Stegostoma tigrinum: one gene and its partners. The protein of the gene in region 1 binds, or shares a complex with, the protein of each later gene. Links are inferred from orthologs where the notes say so. Each region holds a gene or a part of one and is shown in the gene's direction. Other genes may lie near its edges. The genes, in order: pole, pole3 and pole4.

Region 1 (7,593 bases):
GTGCTTTTTCAGGATCATGAATCCTATCCAAACTCTGTACATCACTGGACCTGACCTCAAGTCAACTATGTCTCTTACCCATGCAGGATTATTCCCGTGGTTCATACATCAAACTTTGTTCCCTGAAGTAAATTGTCTCTATTGCTTAGCAGAGTCTTGTGTCCAGCCCTGGCATTCCTGATACTGTTTCAACCTCCCCCAACTCTGGTGGAGCTATCCCTGTAGTTGAATGGGATGTTGGGGGGGGGGGGGGGGGTGCAGGAGTGGTCCTATATTCAAATAAGAACCAGGACAGTTTGATATCAAGTGAAGCTGTAGGCTGTTTCTTTAAGCTTTAAGCCTGTCTTCAAAGTTTGGACTGCTCTTTCTACCAGACCATTGGATGATGGATGATATGGAGCTGTCCTTATGTGATGAATATCATTTGATCTTAGGAAATACTCAACTTCCCTGTTGGTAAACGATGGCCTATCATCTGTGATCAACACTTCCAGGAGTCCTTGCTTTGCAAAAGATGCGTGCAGTTTTTGTTAACCCCTTGTTTGACAAATGAGCTTTATGCATGCCCAGCCACTTTGAGTGGGCATCCACAATGACTAAGAACATTGAGCCAAGGATACTGCATACTCGACATGAGTCCAGGGCTTACCTGGCCATATTCACAAATGTGGGGAGCTGCTGGCAGTAATTTTTGTCCTTGTTGGCACTCTGGGCACTGCCTCACCAATGCAGCTATCTGCATCTAGTCTGGCCACCAGACATAAGTGCTTGCTACTGTCTTCATTTTGGAAACCCCTGAATGACCCTGGTGGAGTTCACCCAGTATTGGGCAGCAACCTTTGCTCAGGTGTAACCACTCTTGCTCCCATAATAACGTCATCCTGTACTGCAATCTGCTCTCTCTGGGTCCAAAATCATTTAAATTCTGGTTGTGACTACCTTTGGTTTCTCCCATCACCACCAGCTGTTGCAATTTTGCCAATCTTCCTGCATTCAAAGTCTGATACTGTCAGTTGTGTCTAGAAATGTGTCCAGAAAATTTAAAACTATTATGGACTCTTCTAGTGGCAGTACCACCAGCAGTGCATCTGCCAGTAGGAAGCGTCCAAAACCATCTGCATTTGCTATTTGGCTCCTGGACAGTGCTCGAACTTGTAATTATACATGTTTAGTATTAGAGCCCACTGCTGAATTCGGCCTGAGGGATTTGTGGTCCATTATTATCACAAATTTACATCCGTAATGGTATTGATGCAACTTCCTACTCCAAATATGACTGCTGTAACTTCCTTTTGAGTGTTTTTACACTTTGCATTAGCTAAAGTCCTGGATGCAAACGCTACTGGGTGTTCCTCTTCATTAGCCTAGCCTACACTACCCCGATGCCTTACAGGGAGGCATCAATGTCAATAGCAAAGCTTGCTTGGGATAATTGTGTGCCAACACCATAGATAGCAATAGCTGTTTATTTATTTCCCAAAAGCTACAGTTGGGCTACACAACCATTTCCAAGGTTGACCCTTTTTGAAGAGTTGTTGCAAAGGTGCAAGAATGGAGTCCAAGTTATGCATGAACTTTCAGTGATAATTCACCAGCCCAATGAAACATCTAAGCTTTGGTACAGACATGGGAGCTGGGGTACCTTTGATCACACTCACTTCATCTTCCAACATGTACAGCCCAGTCTTGTTGACTCTGTTGACCAAGTAGGTCACTTGGGGGCCTGGAACATGCATTTTTCCCTTCTAAGGCATATATCTGTCTTGGAGAAACATTGGACTATGTCCAAGTTCTCTAAGTGCTCCTAACTGGTCTTCCCTGTTATTAGATCATCATTTAGATAAAAGGCAGCCTGGGGTAGACCTCATACAATGTTCTCCATTGTCCACTGAAAAGTTGCACAGGCTGAAGATACTCCATATGGCAGTCTCTCATATTGGTACAAACCCTTATGGGTATTAATAGTAGCATACTTCTGGGAATTCTCACCTAACTGCAATTGCAAGTATACATGGTTCATGTCCATGTAAAGGACATGATCCCCCCAACCCTAACACCAACTATGCATATAAGTTCTTTATGTGAGGGAGTGGGTATTTATCCAGCTGCAAAAAGCAGTTTACCATTTGTTTAAAATCCCCACAAAGGTAAACTGACCCATTGGGCTTCACTATCGGTACTGCCCATTCTGCAAACTGGACTGATTTGATGATTCCTTCACTTTCCAGCCTTCTGATTTCTGCATCTATTTTTGCCCACAAGGCAAGTGGCACTGGGCGGATTTTGCAAATCATGGAATTGCTCGCTGGTCACCTTCAATAGTGCCTAGACCTTCCTGAACATCCTCTGGGTATTTCAGACTTCATTCAGCCTGCCATTTTCTAATCAAGAAATGTTGAGCCAAACTAAGTGAATCGTTCTCAAACAATTTCACTGCATCAGGCTTGGGCCCAAGCCTTTTACTACAAGCAGTGGTAACTGAACCAGCTGTTTTTCATAAGAGACTGGAACCAATGTTGTACCCTTAATCTATAAAGGTTCTCAGTCTATTTGAGGACTTGTGCAGATTTATGAGTTGAGACTAGAGCAAATTTTGTTAAAGACTGATTCTGTGATCACTGAAATGGCTGAACCAATATCAAGCTCCATTAGAGGCAGGTGACCATTTAACCAAATATTTATTTTGATTGGATCTGATTTGGATGTTGACAAGAAATTTAACTGTTACAAACCAGACCTAGTTAGACTTTCTAGGCTGTCCACTCTCTTGGATATTAGCCTATGAATTCACATTCTACATTTAGGTTTAGTGGTACATTTTTGCTGTTTCAGGTCCATGGCAAAACCTACAATGGTGTCCAGCCTGGATCCTGGGACAAATTCTGGCAATTGGGACTAGATTAATTTTGGACATCTGGTCAGCATGGAGGAATTGGACTGAATGGCCTGTTTCCATGCTGTACAACCCCACAACTATGTCAGTTTTTGACAGAGTAGACTGAAACTGCTTGCACTAGCAAGAAGTTCAGGAACTGAAGGCTACACAGCTAGAATAATTGGCAAAAAGATCACTTAAGAGATTTTTTAAAAAACTTAAAATTAATACAGCAAGTTGCTGCCTGAATCACAGGTGGAAACAGATTTAAAAATGTCTTTCAACAGGATTAGTTTCTACTTGAAGTCAAATGGGAGCAAGAGCAGAAAACAGGAAAAATTTGAATGAAGAATCACCACAGACATGCTGAGATGATAGAAATCTCTTGCACAGAAATAGGCATGATGTCCACTTTAAAAGTGGCAACAGATACTAAAACCTTTGAAAAGTTTTCAAATTTAATAACCAAAAAAGCTGCAGGTCCACAAGCTGTCAGGAGAATCACTCTTTGCTTTTCATCTGCCCCAATGTCACTGCCTGGAAAAAAAAACACATACTTTCCAGATTCTAGGTCCAGTCTTTGATGGCAGGATCAAATGAGTGAAGCTTCCAAAATAATGGTACAATGCCAGAAATGCTTGCCCCAACTCAAAGATGACTGTTGCAAGTAAATTTCTTCAGGAGCGTGCTTATCTCTTCTCGCCACTGAAATACCTCCACAGAGGCTGATGTGCTGTCACCAAATCACCCTTTACTTATATGTAGAGAATCCTTGATACTGTTGCAGCTCTCGAGTGAACAGAACATCTGTCATTCTTATTTATACATGTCAGCCCGAGCCCCTTGATTTGACCAGGTTAACCATCCCAATCAGGGAACTCATATTCAATGACGTCTGCCTGTTACAATCACTGCACTATTTACCTTATCTACGCCCCTCATGACTTTATAAGGTCACTCCTCAACTGCCAATGCTCTAGTGAAAAACGTCCCAGGCTTTCCAGCCTCTCAATATAATGCAAACTCTCCAGTACCCCTAACACCCTTGAAAGTCTTTTCTGAACCCTCTCCAATTAAATAAGATCCTTCCTGTAGCAGAGCAACCAGAACTGTACACAGTGCTCCAAAAGTAACCTCACCGACACCCTATCCAGCTGCAACATGATGTCCCAACGACCTGAAAAAATGATTCTGCGCTGTTTCTCGTTTGGCAGTTGCTGTGTGACCCACTGGTTATTTCCAGTGTTGTCTGATTTTATTTTTCAAGAAAAGGCGGATTATGAGTCCTCATCCTTATACTGCGGCCATTCACAAATTCAAAACAATCCAAACACCACTAATTGAACAATCAATGTCTGTAGCCAAATCAGGGAGGTAAAACCTGTCACTGAAATGAGTGCAGACAGCTATCAATAAGATGCCTTTCCTTCCAATGAAGATTTCTTTCACCAAGCTGCCCTTTTACTCTCAGACGTACGGTATGAAGTGGGCGGGGTCAATATGCTCGTTCCGCTCTTTCATCAAATCAGAAACCTTCCGATATTGTCCAGTCAGTATGCGCGTGGTAAGATCTCGCGGTGATGCTAATGCCAGATCTCGCGAGAGATACTAGAGCGCGCGAATTGAGTGAATGAGCGGTAGACATGGTGCTGCAGAACAGTGGGAAGCTAAGAGCTGAGAGACGGCCGGTGGCCGATACTAGCAATCTGTGAGTCTCAACATTGTTTGTTGCCAGTACCGATGAATATAACTACTTAGCAACAAATTTTAGCTATAGTTCCTGGGAGACGAAGGATGCCTCTAGTCAGAAACACACCAGCAGTTCATAACATTGACATCAAGCAGGCCTTTCAGTTGTTGCAGGCTGGCCACTCACTATACCACATTTCCAGTTGGTGCTGTGTCCTCGGAGCAAATTACTTCAGGTCCTGGAATTTGTACTGAAAACAAAAAGTGCTGGAAATCGCAGCGAATCAGAGAGCACTGTAGGATGAGAGCAAGCTAACGTTTCGAGTCTAGATGACTGTACAGAGCTCATCTAGACATGACACGTTAGCTTGCCCTCTCCCCGAGGATGTTGCCCGATCTGATCTGATTTCCAGCACTTTTTTGTTTTTGGTGTTGTGTGTTCTCGTTCGGTCTGATTGCCTTATTTCACTGTTATTGTAGTAGGCAGGTGTAGGTTATTCGTCTTTCCGTTCTCCACTGCTACCTTGTTTTGTGCTGCCTCTACCAGCAATTGATTGTTGAAACTAAAAATCGCCTAGCGTTCGAGTCTCAATATCTACGAAACATTTTAATGTTGCAATTTACATATCTTGTTTCTGCCGCACTCTTCGGTGTGTGAGATTGTGCGAAGACTTCTAAATAATTTGAGTGTCATTGGATTATTTTTTGATTTGAGTTAAGGAAATATTGTTGCACCGAAGAAACCGGATGAGCCTATCTATGAATCTACGAAGTGAGTTTTGGTGCTGCCTGTTTGTAATTATGCTTGTTTAATTCTGATGTAGGTCAGGCCTGTTATTGGCATTTTTAAATCAAAAATGTGTAAAGTAATCTTTCCTTAAATTTCTAGAGTTGAAGAAAACACTAAATTTTAAGACAAATAAAATGCATTCTGATGTGTTTTAACGAGTTTTCGATTGTGCCGAAGTGGGCAATGGAGCCAGCTGTGGAATAGGATATGAGCAGGGTTTATGATGGGTTGATGTATGGATCCTTGGGAATGTGATTTCTTAAAATACTTCTCAAACTCTTCTGTACTAAGTTGTCACATTACTGCGTAGAAATGTGATCAGTAAAATCATTTTGATTGGTGTTGCATTTGAAGAGCTGAGCACTACTGCTCTACTCACACAACTTCACAGATTGCAACAAAAAAGTTTTTCTTTCAGTTACAGAAATGACCAATTAAATATTTCTTAAAATTCTTTCACTGAGTGTGTCGCTAGCAGCAGTGAAGAAAGAATTATTAACGTTTCAGGTCTACAACCTTTTATCACTTCTTGATGCTTCTAGGTATAAAACCTCTGATTTATTGTTTTGCGTCAGCACATTAATGTTGATTAGTCATAAACAGAATGGAATACTCAAATTTATTATGGCAATTAATTTTTATGTGAATGAAGTAAGATTTACATTTTTATAATTCTTTCTATGGCCTCCCTATGTCCCTAAGTATTTTGCAGCCACTGTAGTTCTTTTAAAGTGTGTTAATTGTTGTAGGGCAAGATTGGAATTTCCTTGAGTCCAAGGAGGCAGGAGCAATTAAACATTAGTCCATTCATCTGTTAGTGATAAACTGCCCTTTTGCAGATGATTTAATGGTATCTCTTGTGCTTTTGCTCTCGCAGTGAGGATGGCTCCTCCCTTCCTGCACTCAAGCGCCTGGAGCGCAGTCAGTGGACAGATGAGATGGATGCACGATTTGGGTTTGACCGCCTTAAAGATCCAGGCGAGAAGACTGGTTGGCTTATCAACATGCACCCAGTTAGTTATCCTTCTAACTTAACCTTGTTTCAAAGTTAAACAGCCATTTTCCAGCAGGGGCCCTGATTTACGAATGCCTGACTTAAGTGTTTGTCCTTACAAATACAATCTGAAACAGGGCTATAATTTTAACAATCTGACATACAAACGTTTCCTGTGCTTTTGATTGACCATCTAACTATTATTTTGAATTTGTGTTTTGACTTGAATACCAGTTGACATATGAATGGACTGTAGAATGGAACCTGCTTGCAACCTGGGGAAGAGCTGTACTTTTAAATTTTGGTATTGTGATATATTGATGATGTAGGTTTCTCAAATATGTTCCATGTGGTTTAGTGCCGTTAATCTTTCAAGTTCGGGGAAATGATAATTTGCATGCATTTGTATACAGTTATTTTAGGTATTTGTAAATTGCCACATTTATTTGCTCTCTATGCTGATTTTGATTTACAGGCAGAACTCCTGGATGAAGACAAGAGATTGATCAGTGCTGTGGATTATTATTTTGTTGAAGAGGATGGGAGCAGATTCAAGGTGTGTAACAATTTATGTAAGGATTGTTTTTTCTCCTTCATGGGATGTACATGTTGCTAGCTAGACTATCTGATGCCCATGCCTAATTGCCCTTGATGGTGGTTGTCATCTGCTTTTTTGAACCATTGCAGTCCATTTGGTATAACTGTGTCCAAAGTGCTGTTGCGAAAAGAGCTCTAGGGTTTTTGACCGAATGATGGATGGGGAGTGCATCAAGTGAGCTTCTTATTCTCTGATGGTGAATGGCATTGAGCCTTTTGAATGTTTCCCAGCTGTCAGCTGGGAAAATAGAGAGTATGTCACAGTAAAGTGATGGAAGATGTAATCAACAGTGCTATCATACACCAGCTTTTCGGTAATAACCTACTCAGTGGCACCAGTTTAGGTTCCACCATGCCCACTCAACTGGTGTCCTCTTTTGCAGCCTTGGTTCAAACATGGGCAAAAGTGCTGAATTCCAGAGGTGAGGTGTGAGAGAGAGAGAGCCTTTGACATCAAGGCTGCATTTGACAGATGTGGCATCAGGGGCATGTTGGTTGGAGTCAGACCTAGAGTCATACCGTAGGATATTTGTGGTTGTTGGAGGTCAGTCATCTCAGCGCCAAGACGTCTCCACAGGAGTTCTTCAAGTTAGTATCCTAGGCCCAACCATCTTCAGCTGTTTCATTAATGACCTTCCCTCTATCAGA
Region 2 (7,402 bases), on another chromosome or scaffold:
CGGGGAGGGGATCCGCAATTGGATCCGGCTGCTCTACACCAACATTGTTAGTGCAGTCTCGATCAACGGGTGGGAATTGGACATTTTTCCCGTCAGATATGGAGTCAGGCAGGGCTGCCCGCTCTCTCCTGCCTTGTTCGTGTGCTGTGTGAAGCCCTTCGCCGCATCCATCAGGAAGAACGTGAGCCTGAAGGGTGTGACTATCCCGGGCAGCGGAGGCCTTCAGGTCAAGACCTCCCTGTACGTGGACGATGTCGCCGTCTTCTGTACCGATCGTCGGTCGGTGAGTAGGCTGTTGGACATCTGTGGCCAGTTTGAACTGGCCTCAGGTGCCAAAGTCAACAGTGGTAAGAGCGAGGCTATGTTCTTCGGGAACTGGGACGACCGCTCCTTCATCCCCTTCACCGTCAGGACAGACTACCTGAAGGTGCTGGGTGTTTGGTTCGGTGGAGCTGGGGCATGCACTAAGACCTGGGAGGAGCATATCACCAAGTTGAAGCAGAAGCTGGGAAGGTGGACGCTCCGGTCCCTCTCCATCACGGGTAAGAACCTGGTTGTCAGGTGCGAGGGGCTTTCGGTACTGTTGTATGTGGCGCAGGCCTGGCCTATTCCCTGGACCTGCGCCGCTGCGGTCACCCGGGCCATCTTCCACTTCATTTGGGGGTCGAGGATGGACCAGATCCACAGGGACACCATGTACAAAGACCTGGAAAATGGGGGAAAGGGCTTACCGAATGCCACCCTCGCCCTGATGGCTACCTTTGTGTGCGGCTGCATCGAACTGTGCGTAGATCCTCAGTACGCAAACACCAAGTGTCACTACTTACTGAGGTTCTACCTGTCCCCGATGTTGCGAAGGATGGGCCTGGCCTCGTTGCTGCGGAACGCTCCGAGTAGTTGGATCATCCCGTACCACCTGTCCTTCGTGGAGAAATTTTTGAAAGGAAACACCTTTACCACAAGGCTGTCAGGCAGTGGTCAGCACGTAGTATTCTTGAGACCCTTCGGGAAAAGGAGAGGGTGGATCCCGTCATGTGGTTCCCCACGCAGACTGCCAAAGTCGTTTGGGAGAATGCCTCATCGCCAGAACTTTCCAACAAGCACAAGGACATTGCTTGGCTGGCAGTGAGAGGGGGTCTGCCAGTGATATCTTTTATGCATGCCTGGAATCTCTGCACCACCGCACACTGCCCTTGAGGCGGCTGCGGGGGCGACGAGACTGTCTGTGCAGGAGGTCTGGAGGGGGATGCAGTGGTATTTGTCGAGGTTCGTCCCGAGCAGCTCCGTGACGCGGGACTCCGTGCTCTACGGGCTGTTTCCCGGGACGCACACCGAGACCAACATCAACTGCGCCTGGAGGACCATCAATGCAGTGAAAGATGCTCTTTGGTCTGCCCGCAACTTATTGGTCTGCCAGCTGAAAGAACTGACCCCGACCGAGCGTTGCAGACTGGCACACTCCAAGGTCCAGGACTACGTGCTGAGGGATGCGCTAAATCTTGGGGCAGCTGCTGGCAAGACACGGTGGGGAAAGACCACCGTATGAAACCCCTCGTCCAGAATAGAAACAAGGGCCCTATCTGGTAACTGGGTCCAGCTGGCGCCTTCCCCAACTGGTCAGGGGGCCAACGGGGACTGTGCGGGGAGACGACTGCCGGGGTATTTTCTTTGCTTAGTTTTTTTTTTCCTTTGTTTTGTTTTTTCCTTTTAGTTGGTGCACGTACCCCCTGGGTAACCCGGAGCAGCTTGTATGACTGGGTAGGTGTATAAATGTTTTATTTTTTGTATGTTCTATGAATAAAGTATATTTTTTCAAATCAATTAAAAAAAAGTGACGAAACGTCTGAAAACTAACCTTCCAGCTCAGCGAGCAAACTCACATCTACATTCTTTTCATTTGGAAATAAAAGATCCCATCACTATGACAATTAATATTAATGTATTTCTGACCACTATTCCCTTGTCAATGAGGTATCCTCTCAAATTTTCTACACCAAGGACTGAGTTCCAATTAGAAAAGAAATTTCAGAAGAATGGTGTTCGACATATTCTTATGCTTGGATCCTTGGCAAGATCCCCCAACTTGTTATGGTTCCAGACAGTTTGTACAATTTGTTAAGCCCGTAGGTGAAGTAGAAGCAGACAGGGGAAAATTAACTGCCTTTTCCTTTTTTATTCACCCAAGCCATGTTGGTCTCAACATGTTTAATTTAAAAGCAAATCTTCTCTCTTGTAGATGCCTTTCTCCCAGATCCAAATGAACCTGCGTTTTCAAAGCAAGAATTTGTAACAGCACACAGGTTAGAAAAAAAGTGAGATCTAAAAGATAAAATTTTTTAAAAGCAGATACAGCAAACTTTGTACTAACTAGCATCCTACAAACCAACACTTGATAAAACGGCAAAAATTACATAACTGAAATTAACTGTATTATCGTGATCCTCACAATGCCTGAGTAGACACATAATGGGCATTGACACCCGACATTACATTTCAATCACTAAGTGTGTGTTTTTACATTGATTAGATGAACCTCTTGATCAACCAGAATATTTGATTAATCTGCATACTCCTGGTCCCATGGGTTCTGCTTAATAAGTTTACTGTATTCAGATCTGTCTCCTAATTGTTCCCAAAACGTTGAATAATATGGCTGTGACAGTGGGGTTTATTGGCAACACTGACACTGGAAGTTGAAGAGTTGGTTTCAAGTCTTACATTTGCATGTTGATTAAAATCCTGTATTTCTGATTCCTTTTGATTGTGGATGAATGACGGCATTCAGGGTGATATAGTCCTTCTGTTGTCTTTTCAAACTTTTCTCTGGCTACCCAGCTACTGGTAATGAGCACTCAGATTAAGAGGTTCCCTTTACCTGCAATGATTAAACTAGACAATGATTGCAAAGCAAGATAACAAAGTGTGGAGCTGGATGAACACAGCAGGCCCAGCAGCATCTCAGGAGCACAAAATCTGACGTTTCGGGCCTAGATCCTTTGTCAGAGAGGGGGATGGGGAGAGGGTTCTGAAATAAATAGGGAGAGATGGGGAGACGGACCGAAGATGGAGAGGGGAGAAGATAGGTGGAGAGAAGAGCATAGGTGGGGACGGGATAGGTCAGTCTGGGGAGGACGGACAGGTTAAGGAGGTGGGATGAGGTTAGTAGGTAAGAAATGGAGATGTGGCTTGAGATGGGAGGAAGGGATAGGTGAGAGGAAGAACAGGTTAGGGAGGCAGAGACAGGCTGGGCTGGTTTTGGGATGCAGTGGGCGAAGGAGAGATTTTGAAGCTTGTGAAGTCCACATTGATACCATTGGGCTGCAGGGTTCCCAAGCGGAATATGAGTTGCTGTTTCTGCAACATTCACAAGCTTCAAAATCTCCACTCCCCCCACTGCATCCCAAAACCAGCCCAGCCTGTCTCTGCCTCCCTAACCTGTTCTTCCTCTCACCCATCCCTTCCTCCCACCTCAAGCCGCACCTCCATTTCCTACGTACCATCTCATCCCGCCTCCTTGACCTGTCCGTCCTCCCAGGACTGACCTATTGCCTCCCCCTCTCTCCCTATTTATTTCAGAATCCTCTCCCCCTCCCCCTTTTCTGATGAAGGGTCTAGGCCCGAAACGTCAGCTTTTGTGCTCCTGAGATGCTGCTTGGCCTGCTGTGTTCATCCAGCCTCACACTTTATTATCTTGGATTCTCCAGCATCTGCAGTTCCCATTATCCATGATTGCAAAGCACCGACATTCAATTCGAGCTTCGTACACAGGGGAACGTCAGCCCACTGGCACACGAGAACCTAGGTCCTCTGGAGCACATGCTGGCAGAGTGAACAGGCTTTTTACATCCCTGTCTTTGTGTATTCTTGTATGTATGTGAAAAAGGTTAAGGTTCCCTTTCCACCTTTAAGTGCGACATTCCATGGCTATCCTTCTCTCCAGTCAGTCAATTAATTTACATCTGCAGCTACTTATGGCCCTATGGATTGCCTCTCTTTTAAAATCCACTTCGGAATTATGAGCTAAAAATATTAACAGTACTTTAGGTTGGGACCCGTGGTCATGACAATATGAATACGTCCTACCCAGCAGTGCTAGTTTTGAGCGATCAGTGTCTTAGTGCCGGGTATACTAGTTTGGGAGATAACACTTGTAATTTGGACCACTTTCCTTACTACTCACGCAGCGGTGAAACTCCTCTCCAGCGCCTTTAGGCGGCGCCTCTGGCTGGAGGCCGCAGCCTTCGGTAACCAAGCGCGGGAAGATGACGCGGGTAGAGCTCACGCGCCACAGCAGCCGTCCAATCAGGCGTTCCGGAGGGGGTCAGGGGTGAAAGGTTGCGGGAGGCTGCGGACGTCTTTTGCTGGCGGGTGAGAGCGCGCGAGGGACGGGGTGAGAGTGTGGGTGGCCGTTATTCTAATGAGGTGCTCAGTGTCATGGCGGCGGGCTGTGGACGGTTCAGTTCAGGCAGGGCACGGGGCTAGGCCGTCTGCAGAGCCGGGCAACTGACCACCTGAGGGAGCGGGCATTGCCGGAGGGTCAGTGCTGAGGGAGCGGGCACTGCCGGAGGGTCAGTGCTGAGGGAGCGGGCACTGTCGGAGGGTCAGTGCTGAGGGAGCGGGCACTGTCGGAGGGTCAGTGCTGAGGGAGCGCGGTAACACTAGATGGCCATTGTACGGTTGTTTAGCAGCCCAGAGAGACAGTGACGCATTTTCGGAGGGGCAAATTTGGATTACGGCGTCTTTCATCTGTCATGTTCAATGCCACAGTTTTCCAGTACAGAAAATAGGGTCTATCCTTGATGTCCTATTCAATATGTATCTCTGTACCAGCATCTTTGGTTATTTATCCCGTTGGTGTTTGTGGGAGTTTGCTGTGATGGTTGCACTTCTTTGTCTGAAAAGTCCCATGGAATTTTTGGAGATTGTGTAGACTGTTAAATAAATATCTGCCTTGTTTTTGTTTGGGCCAGCTTTTCAATGTAGAATCACTACCAAGGTTAATGAAGATCCAATGTAAAGTTCCTATACAGTGTTGGGCTGCATGAATTGTAACTACTGTTGAGGCTTTGAGTGAGCATGGAGATTCATGTGAATTAAATAATATAAACAATAGATCAGAAGAAACATCTTGTATAATGTGGTCACATGGAATTCACTTTCAGAGTTGGTGGCTTAGATAAAATCTAAATCAATATTGATCGTTAGATTGAAAAGTGGATGAAGAGACATGCATGTTAGGTGTCTCAACTTAGATTGAGCAGTGTTTATACTTTTGTTATCCTTTCACTTCCTTGGGCTATCCCAATGTATTTCTCAGTGCATCAGTTATTTTTGAAGTATGTATAGGTCAACAACTAATTTGGAACTGACAAAAAGCAATGGAAGCAGTTAATTTTTTCTCAGTGATGTTTGCTGAGGAAAGTTAACTGTGTCTCTCCGCTCTTCTGTGAACAGTGTCAGGGATCTTGTGCCTGTGTGCGCAGGCAGATGGGTCCTCAGTTTAATGGTTCATTAAGACAATCTTCAGTGCGCCGTGCATACTGCAGTAAAGGTGCTGAAGTAGAGGCCTGTTTCAGTGTATACAGTAGAACATTGGTTGTAAGCAGACAGCAAAAAGTGTTTTTCTTTTTAACATTTTTTGAGTCATATGTCACAATTATTTTGACAATTCAAAACTAGCTGCTAGTGTATATTTAATTGTCCTTTAAATAATTTAGCTGAATTCTTTTGTATTTTTGTGTTTTTTAAAATTCCCATCTCCCAAATGATTTTTGGATTTGCAAAAGACAACTGTACAAGTACGTTGGCAGCCCTTTGATACCCTGCCCCATGTGTACAGCATCCAGTGTTTCAAATTTGTAACAGATCTGACCCATAGTGAAAAAACCCCAGTACAGAGGCACACCCATGATAAATTTATCCCAGTGCAGTATCCCCACTGCAAAATCCTTCTGAATATGGCATTTTCATGCAGTAGAACCATCCCAGTCTGGAATTCTCTGTATTAAGTGTATCCTCAGTGATATGTGGTAAACTTATACCTGAGACCATCTGGTGATGTGGGGATGTCAATGGAGAGGGTTCAGAGGAGGTTTACCAGGATGCTGTCTGGACTGGAGGGCTTATCTTATGAAGAGAGGTTGACTGAGCTCGGTCTCTTTTCATTGGAGAAAAGGAGGAGGAGAGCGGACCTAATTGAGGTATACAAGGTAATGAGAGGCATAGATAGAGTTGATAGCCAGAGACTATTTCCCAGGGCAGAAATGGCTAGCACGAGGGGTCATAGTTTTAAGCTGGTTGGTGGAAAGTATAGAGGGGATGTCAGAGGCAGGTTCTTTACGCAGAGAGTTGTGAGAGCATGGAATGCGTTGCCAGCAGCAGTTGTGGAAGCAAGGTCATTGGGGTCATTTAAGAGACTGCTGGACATGTATATGGTCACAGAAATTTGAGGGTGCATACATGAGGATCAATGGTCGGCACAACATTGTGGGCTGAAGGGCCTGTTCTGTGCTGTACTGTTCTATGTTCTATGCCCAAACTGCTAAACATGTATTGCTTATGTTACCTTGCATCCAAAGGTTTCCATATTCCTGAGACCTTTGTCCAAGGTATTACATCTTGGCCGGTAGTTTTATGGTAGTTTTGGAGTTGAGGAATGTCTCAGCTGCCCTGGACTTTAACACATCTAACTGAATTGTTTGTGTATTTGTAGTTTATGTGAGAAAGATGGCTGAGAGACCGGAAGACTTGAATCTACCAAATGCAGTCATTACTAGGATTATTAAAGAGGCGGTGAGCGTGAATTAGACAAGCATCTGTAATCACAGATTTTGCGCGGTTGACTCTACTAGATTGTGAACTATATTTTTATGCCTTATGATAACATCTGATAGATAATAAATTTTCCGAATTAAAAAGAAATTCTCACTGCTTAGTTGTTCACTAGTTACTATAAAATGAAGTACTTTTCTTGACAGAATTTTGCCATTTGAAGTTAAAACAATGAATGGATGCTGGAAATCTGAAACAAAAACAAATTACTGGAGAAACTCAGTAGGTCTGGAAGCATAAATAGAGAAAGCAGAGTTGATGTTTTGAGACAAGTGACCCTTCAGAACTGTTTCTATTAGTAAGGATAATTTGAATAAATGCAGCATTTGTTATCTGGAGAAATGATGTGAATAATCAATACAAGGACACACTTTACATTGCTTTTATAATATCACATACAATTTGAAATTGGCTATCAGGGGATGGTCAAGTACCAGAACACACACTTCATTGTTAATGCCCCAGTTAAAATGTAGTAAGTTCCTTAAATTTAAATATAGGCTATTGCAACATGTTGGCTATGTGAATAATAAATAATGTTCTGTTTGGAAATTACTAATGCCCAAAAGCT
Region 3 (7,707 bases), on another chromosome or scaffold:
GAGTCACATGTAGGCCAGACCAGGTAAGAATGGCAGTTTCCTTCCCTAAAGGGCATTAGTGAACCAGATGGGTTTTTCCTCTAATTGACAATGGATTCACTGTAATCATTAGATTCTTAATTCCAGATATTTATTAAATTCAAATTCCACCATCTGCAGTGGCAAGATTTGAACCTGGGTCCCTAGAATGTTATCTATGTCTCTGGATTAACAGTCCAGTGATAACACCATCACTTCCCCACTATTATGTAATAAATCATAACCTACTACTGATCTGTGGCTCATCCTTCTAATACTTAAAGAAGCATTGGTGGCAACGTATTTAACTGAAGAAGATCTTGTCACGACCATGCGTCAACTGTGAACATGTCAGAAGTGAGGCAATCCATCATAACGGACCCCAGAGTTTAAAAACCAGGCAGGAAAACACACCGACGCTTCATCAGAGGCTGCACTGAGGATGTTACCCAGCACAGTAACAAAACGTCTGCAGAACAACAAAACAGTTCAGTGAGCCAACCAACCTCAACGCCCACAACCCAAGCTACAGATCTACTCCAAAACCTTAGAGCATTGCCATCTATTGTGGAGCAAAGTGATTTTTAAAATTTGTTCGCAGTGTGAGTGTCATTGGCTAGGCCAGCATTTATTGTCAACCCCTAACAGTTTTTGAAAAGGTGGTGGTGAGCCACCTTCTTGAGCCACTGAAGCCCCCCCTGTATGATGTCGGGACCACTACAGTGCAGTTAGAAAGAGAGTTCCAGGATTTTAACCCAGCAACTGTGAAGGAACAGCAATGTAGCTCTAAGTCAGAATGGTTTGGCTTGGAGGAGAACTTGCAGGTGTAGGTGCTCCATATAGCTGCTGCCCTTGTCCTTCTAGGTGATAGCAGTCATATATTTGGAAAGTGTTAACGAAGGAGGCTTGGTGAATTACTGCAGAGCATCTTGTAGATGGTATTTGGGATGCGCAAAAGGCCACAGCAGGAGGAACATAGAGGTTTGTGTGTGTATGTCCCATTGCTACTGCAAAGTACAGTGCTTGTATGTATATGCATCCATGTGTATGCCTGTCTGTTTTATAATGCACCGGTGAAGAGACATTTTAATTTGTTAAATATGCTACATAAGTATGAATTGTTGTTGTTCTCTATTTTGCCCACTATAGTGTGATTTGTGAACTCAAGTATTCTTGCCCCCACCTTATGCTTAACTTTCTGTCTTTGTCTCTCTGGGCCAAACACTTGTGTCAGACGAGATAGTGAACCCAGCCTGAGCCATGTGTTCAGGGTGAACCCAGCATCCAGGTTGATTTGACAACTTATACAGAAGCATCAGAAACAAGAATTTTACCTAGACAAATTTTCAACAGAATAGAAAGAGATAATTCAGATATGTACCTGAACTTATTGAGTGGGCCACTCTCAAGTGATTTGTAACTCATCTAATTTGTAAAATAATGAGCAACAGGAGCATTACTCCTGTGAAGAAGGGGTAAATTATGTTGGGTGGGGTGATGGGAAGTAAGTTGTTGCTGCATAAATTAAAAGCCAACTTGGAGAGGAAGCAGGCTATTGAATTTTCTTGCACCATCCGTCAATGTGTTAAATTCAGTTAATCATCCCCTTTCATTTTGCTTCTGCAGGACCAGGAGCAGACAAGGCAGAATTATTTCCAAGCACTGAGTAACTTATAACTAACTCCATTATAAAACAATAGTTCCATCCATTTCCCTGGTAGCCAAAAGACCAAAGTAAAGATCTATTTTTTTTTTTCTCAGATGCTAACTCACAGGTATTAATGGGACAGATCACGTGCAGGGAATGACAATGAGGTATTCACAGAAAGAAAAAGAATGGAACGGGTCATAATAGCCTTGTGTGGGGAGATGTCAGTGGTTCTGGATATCTCAAGATTGCATGCCATTATTAGAACATAACTGACCGGACAAAGTAGGTAAGATTAGAGAACTACTACTTCTTTCAATTCGCTCCAATTCTTCCAACACCATGGAATAAAAACCCTCATGCTCCATGCACCATTGGTTAATGATTTGTAACACCCCTTCCACTGGAAGCTGTGTTTGGAATTCACTCTAACGCCCTTCCTTGCACACAACAAACTGCCCTTTTGGCAATAGATGTATGATCATGTATTTCCCAGCAGTTGAAAGATATCTGTCCAATGCTCATCTTAATCTAATAATACTATTCTTACTGCAAGACAAAATGGCGCACTGTGTATTGGGAAGGCTTCTTGTGGATGTAATTGCGCTCACAGTGAACAAGCAATGGAGTTAAAGAGCGACTTTCACCCAGAAGGCCACAGATTATGGAAATGGGCAGTTAATACTGAATTACAGAGCACAAGGAATTCTGAAAAGTAGATATAAAATTCATTTTATCTCATCTAGCTTTTCAGAAGAATGACTAACTTTAACTGCAGCGTCAGTGTGTTCTGATTTGATGTGCGTTAGTCTGATGAGCATCACACTATGTTCCTGACTTGGAATGCAAATGCCAAAACTTCACTTTCCTCATAAGGTATTTTTAAAAATAATAAATCTCAGCGCTGAGGAGAAAGAACTGGGCAGTGGAAATTATTGAAAACTTTCAACACAGTAGGCTGAATAACCTGCTAAAGTACTGCAAATTCTACAAGAAGGAATTATTTTCCTCCTTGTAGAGACCAATGGTGTACAACAGCTTCATTTCAGACAGAATCATTCTCCAGTCTCAACAGTGTAGCCTAGGCCAGTGTGTTCTCCATTTTGGAATCAAAGTTGGTGTTCTGGGACAGGTATGAGAGCACTGCATTCCAGCCTTCACAGATGTGAGACCAACTACTCGGAAGCAACCTCAACATCGATATCTGATTGCTCTAAACTCCACCTTGAACATGAAACAATCTACATCACCCTTTACCAATCTGTCTTGACCTAGGACAAAATTATCATCCCTCCAAGAGAGTCCTGGAATCTCCAAGGATTTAAGATCAACATTTCCAGGACACTCTTGGAGTGCATTCAGCCACAATTTACAACTTTAAGCCCAATCAACCTCTTCCATTCTGAGCACTGCAGAAGCAAGTATTAATTCACTTCTTTGTGAGTATGTGACTACAATGGAGGGAGCGCAGAGGAGATTTATCAGGATCTTGCATGGGTTAGAGCATTTTAGCTACGACAAGAGATTGGATGGGCTCAAGTCATTTTTTACAGAGCAGAGAAGGTTGAGGGGGGGACATGATTAAGACATATGAGGTTACGAGGGGCATCGACAGGGTGGGTAAGCAGCTGTTCTCCTTAACTGAAGGATCAATGGCAAAGGGCCATAATTTTAAGATACAGGGCAGGAGCTTTAGGGATTTGAGGAAAAACATTTTTCACTCAGAGGGTGATGGAAACCTCAAATGCACAGACTGGGAGAGAAGAAAAGATGGGAAATCTCACAACTTTTAAAAATGGAAAGAACTGTGCATGCTGTAAATCAGAAACAAAAACAGAAATTGCTGGAAAAGCTTAGGAGGTCTGGCAACATCTATGAAGCAAAAATCAGCATAATTTTTCCAGTCCTGTGACCCTTCCTCAGAACAGATGATAGCTAAGAAAATGTTATTTTATATGCAGTAGATAGTGTGGGGGAGGGTGTAGGGAATAAATGATAAGTGGGAATAGGGCCTAAAGAGTGAGAAGAACAATTGGACAATGAAGTGGATAACGATCTCACTAGGATAGTGACTAACTGTTGAAGGAGACTAAACAGAGACATTTTGCTAGCCACTGTCAATTCTGAGGTAAGGTCACCAAACTTGAAAGGATGACTCTGATTTCTCATCACAGACCTGCTAAGCTTTACAGGCAACTTCAGTTTTTGTTTCAACCTTCAAAAATGCTTGGATAAGCAACTGAAACGTCATAACACTCCAGGCTATTTTTTCCAATTCATTCAGAGGATGTGGGCTACACCAACAATCATTACCATTGGCAGTTCAGAGTCAACAACATTACTGTGGATCTGGAGTCACATGGAGACTGCAGACCAGATAAGGATTACAGTTTCTTTCCCTTTTGTTTGCCTGACAATCAACAACGGTTCATTGTCATAACTAGACATACAATTCCAAATTTTTTAAATTGCCCAGAACATTACCTGGGTCTCTGGATTAATCGGCTAGTGATACTATCACTAGGCCATCACCTCCCACTACGAGGGAAGTGCTGGAAAGTGGGATCAATATAGCCTGGTCGGCAAACTTAATGAACCAAAACGTCTCTACTTTGCTGTGCTTTAAACAAAGAAAAAGAACTGTGAATGCTGGAAGCACTCATCACATCTGGCAACGGCTGTTGAGAATCTCCAGCATGGTCCCTTCTTGTAACTGAGCTTTGCCCCTAATTGCAGCCGATTGATTGGGTAGAAAAGTTCATGTTGCACCATCTGATTGGACCACACCCCTTCCCCCAGTCGTGCTATTGGACTGTTTGCGCGCCCTTTGATGATTGGCGTTACTGTACTGTGTTGTGATTGGTGCTTCTGTCCAGTGTCGTGACTGGCCCGCCTATGCTTGCTGTGATTGGTGGAGGGGTGACTTCGCGTTCTGATTGGTGGTTGTTGGGGGCGGCAGGCGGCGTGGCGGGAAGGCGGCTGATGGAGGAGCGCGAGAGTGGAGTGGAGCCGGGCCAGAGCCTACAGTTGGAGGCCGAGGTGGACAGGCTGGGCCTACAGCATAAACTGCTGCGGCTGCCGCTGAGCCGGATCAAGGGGCTGATGAAAGCTGATCCCGATGTCTCGCTGGCGAGTCAGGAGGCTGTGTTCGCCATCGGCAAGGCCACGGTGTGTGAGTGAATGGCGGCTTCCCCGACCACCACCCAGCTCCCTCCCCTGCCACCACCACCACCGCTCCAGGCCGTAACAGTCAGTGTGGCCGGACTGCCCTCGCGGGGACAGTTCGCTCGGTCGTTGCCCGTGTTTCTTGTTTGGTGCTGAGCTCAGGGCTACTTGGTGAGGGTACATAGTATATTTACCACAGTAATCTCCAGGGGTAAATTACGAGTAGAGATAAGGATAAACGTAAAATACTGGACACTTCAGATCTTCTTCGGTGTAGCTATTCCTTGAAGAAAAATAATAATGAACTAAACATCCTTTATTCTAGAAGTGTGACCACTAAAATAAAAACCAAACGTTGCTGCATTTTTTTTTGAAGAGTTATTAAAGTGATGTTCCCCGCCACCCCCCTCCATAGATGCCACCAGATTAGAGGGCATAATCAAAGCCGTAGAGCCAGACTTTTGAAAAGTAATGATACCTATTGACATACAAGGGTAGTTGAAGTTTTGACCCCCACCTCCAAGCAGTTATAGAAATAAGTTAGAGGCCATTCAGCTCCTTAAGCCTGCCCCACCACTCTGTAAGATTGTGGCTGATCTGTGACCTAAATCTGTCTACCTGTCTTTGGCCTGTATCCCATAATACCACTGCTTAACAAAAAGTTGCCTGTTTCACATTTGAAATTAACAACGATTCAGCGTCCACTGCAGTTTGTGATAGAGAATTCCAAACATGTACCACCCTTTTTGTTTAGAAGTGTTAACTTCTGCATTCATGTACTCTAGTCCTGTAGATATAAAGGCAAGAATTAGCTTTCATGATTATTTTCTGCACCAGTTTGTGACGCTTTTAAACATTTAGATTTTAAATATTTTTAAATCTAGGTCAATAATTTTAAGGGATACGGGGCAAAAACAGACATGGAGCTGGATTCTGGATCATTTAATCCCTGATGACGGTGACAATGATTGTCTTGCATAAGAATACTTTAATTTAGTTTAACTCTTAAGGAAACTAGTATCTTGGCATCTGTTTATTGTTTAATAATGAGGCAAAAGCAACTTTCCTCATTGTGGAGAGAAACACTGGGAGGAAATGCTACTCCTGCTCAGGACAGAGATGAGAGCTGTATGAGAACTGGAGCAGTATACTGGGTTCCTGGAGAGAGTGAGTGTATACTGAGCAACCTGGGTACTACAGTGACTGAACACTGTATTTGGTTTCTCCCAAAGGAACTTTTTGTTGAAGTGATTGCGAAGGATGCATACTCATTTGCTTTGCGGGGCAAGCGTAAAACCATCCAACGAAAGGATGTGGGTGAGTCTGTCAGCGGTTTGTTATTCCAGACTGTTTTTGCCAGCATTAAAAAGGTCTTTGCATTACAATGTATGTGAGTGGCTGTGTTTTCAAGTCAGAGTCATAGAAAAGTACAGCATGGAATCAAACTCTTCGGTCCAACTCATCCATGGAGACCAGATATCCTAAATTAATCTAGTTCCATTTGCCAGCATTTGGCCCAAATCCCCCCTCAACCCTTCCTTTTCTTATACCCATTAAATGCCTTTAAAATGTTGTAATTGTACCAAGCTCCTCCACTGACTCTGGGAATTCATTCCATAGGTGCGTCACCCTCTGCATGAAAAAGTTGCCTCTTTGGTCCTCCTCAAATCTTTCCCCTCGCCTTAAACCAATGCCCTCTAGTTTTGGACTCGCTTATCCTAGGGAAAAGACCTTGACTATTCACCCTATCCATGTCCCTCATCATTTTATAAACCTCTATAACGTCACCCCTCAGCCTCTGACATTCGAAGGAAAATAGCCCCAGCCTATTCAGGCTCCCCGTACAACCCAAACACTCCATCCTTGACAACATCCTTGTAAACCCTTTCAAGTTGCACAATATGCCTCCTATAGGAGGGAGACCACAACTGAATGCAGTACTCCAAAAGTGGCCTAATCCACGTCCTGTCTGCTGCAACACGATCTCCCAGCTCCTATACTCGATGCACTGATCAATAAAGACATGTGTATCAAATGCCACCTTCGTCACCTTGTCTACCTGTGACTCCACTTTCGAGGAACAATGAAACTGCTCTGTGCAAGTCTCCTTGTTCGGCATCATTTCCCAGGACCTTACCATTAAAAGTATAAGGTCCTCACATTTATCTAGATTAAACTTTATCTGCCATTCCTCCGCCTGTCTAATCAAGGTCCTGTTGTACTCATAGGTAACCTTCTTCACTGTACAGTACACGGCTAATTTTGATGTCATTTGTAACTTGCTAATCATACTTCCTATATTTACATACAAATCATTTAAGTGCTGAGCTAATCTTGTGTGAAGGTGGGACTGCAGTGATGAAATAGTCAATTGTTGGTTTGTTTGGAAGTTGTCAAAGTTGCTAGATATTGTATTTTTATTTCTCTTTCAGACAATGCAGTTGATGTTACAGATGAATTTGCATTTTTGGAAGGTGAGTCCTTCCTCCTTATTTAACAGCCATAACGTTGTTTTGTTTTGTTGTTTTCTCCTGTCAGTCCTTCCTACACCAGTGGAGAAGGCACTGCCGCTGCAAGGTGCAGCAGATAGAATTACCTTGAGTCGAGCTACTGATGTGAAGGCTGAAACTAGTTGACTTCCACAGTCTGTCAAGACTGTTGTTAATCTTTCACATGAACAATTATTGCATTAATACAATGTACCCTCCATTCACTCAATTACTTTTCTAATCTATTTTTAAAAGCACCTTTAATCAAATTGTCGGGACCATTTTTATTCATTCACATGATGAGGTGTCACTGGCTAGACTGGCATTTATTGCCCATCCCTAATTGCACAAAGGGCAGTTAAAAGTCAACCACATTGCTGTGGATCT

The links.
Region 2: pole (region 1) and pole3 share a complex: the UniProt entries of both Homo sapiens proteins name them as parts of the DNA polymerase epsilon complex. The link is inferred for Stegostoma tigrinum from reciprocal best matches to the Homo sapiens genes POLE and POLE3.
Region 3: pole (region 1) and pole4 share a complex: the UniProt entries of both Homo sapiens proteins name them as parts of the DNA polymerase epsilon complex. The link is inferred for Stegostoma tigrinum from reciprocal best matches to the Homo sapiens genes POLE and POLE4.

What each region holds. Positions count from the first base shown.
Region 1 is NC_081379.1:15,997,951-16,005,543, reverse strand, and holds the start of pole (DNA polymerase epsilon catalytic subunit A), read left to right. Parts: upstream 1-4,491; 5' UTR 4,492-4,518; coding exon 4,519-4,583; intron 4,584-6,231; coding exon 6,232-6,367; intron 6,368-6,823; coding exon 6,824-6,904; intron 6,905-7,593. UniProt on the Homo sapiens protein: Catalytic component of the DNA polymerase epsilon complex. Participates in chromosomal DNA replication.
Region 2 is NC_081382.1:5,786,661-5,794,062, reverse strand, and holds the start of pole3 (DNA polymerase epsilon subunit 3), read left to right. Parts: upstream 1-4,313; 5' UTR 4,314-4,368; exon of another isoform or gene 4,369-4,390; intron 4,391-4,404; exon of another isoform or gene 4,405-4,600; intron 4,601-6,712; 5' UTR 6,713-6,726; coding exon 6,727-6,792; intron 6,793-7,402. UniProt on the Homo sapiens protein: Accessory component of the DNA polymerase epsilon complex. Participates in DNA repair and in chromosomal DNA replication.
Region 3 is NC_081383.1:26,171,351-26,179,057, forward strand, and holds the start of pole4 (DNA polymerase epsilon subunit 4), read left to right. Parts: upstream 1-4,610; 5' UTR 4,611-4,648; coding exon 4,649-4,834; intron 4,835-6,063; coding exon 6,064-6,148; intron 6,149-7,263; coding exon 7,264-7,305; intron 7,306-7,707. UniProt on the Homo sapiens protein: Accessory component of the DNA polymerase epsilon complex. Participates in DNA repair and in chromosomal DNA replication.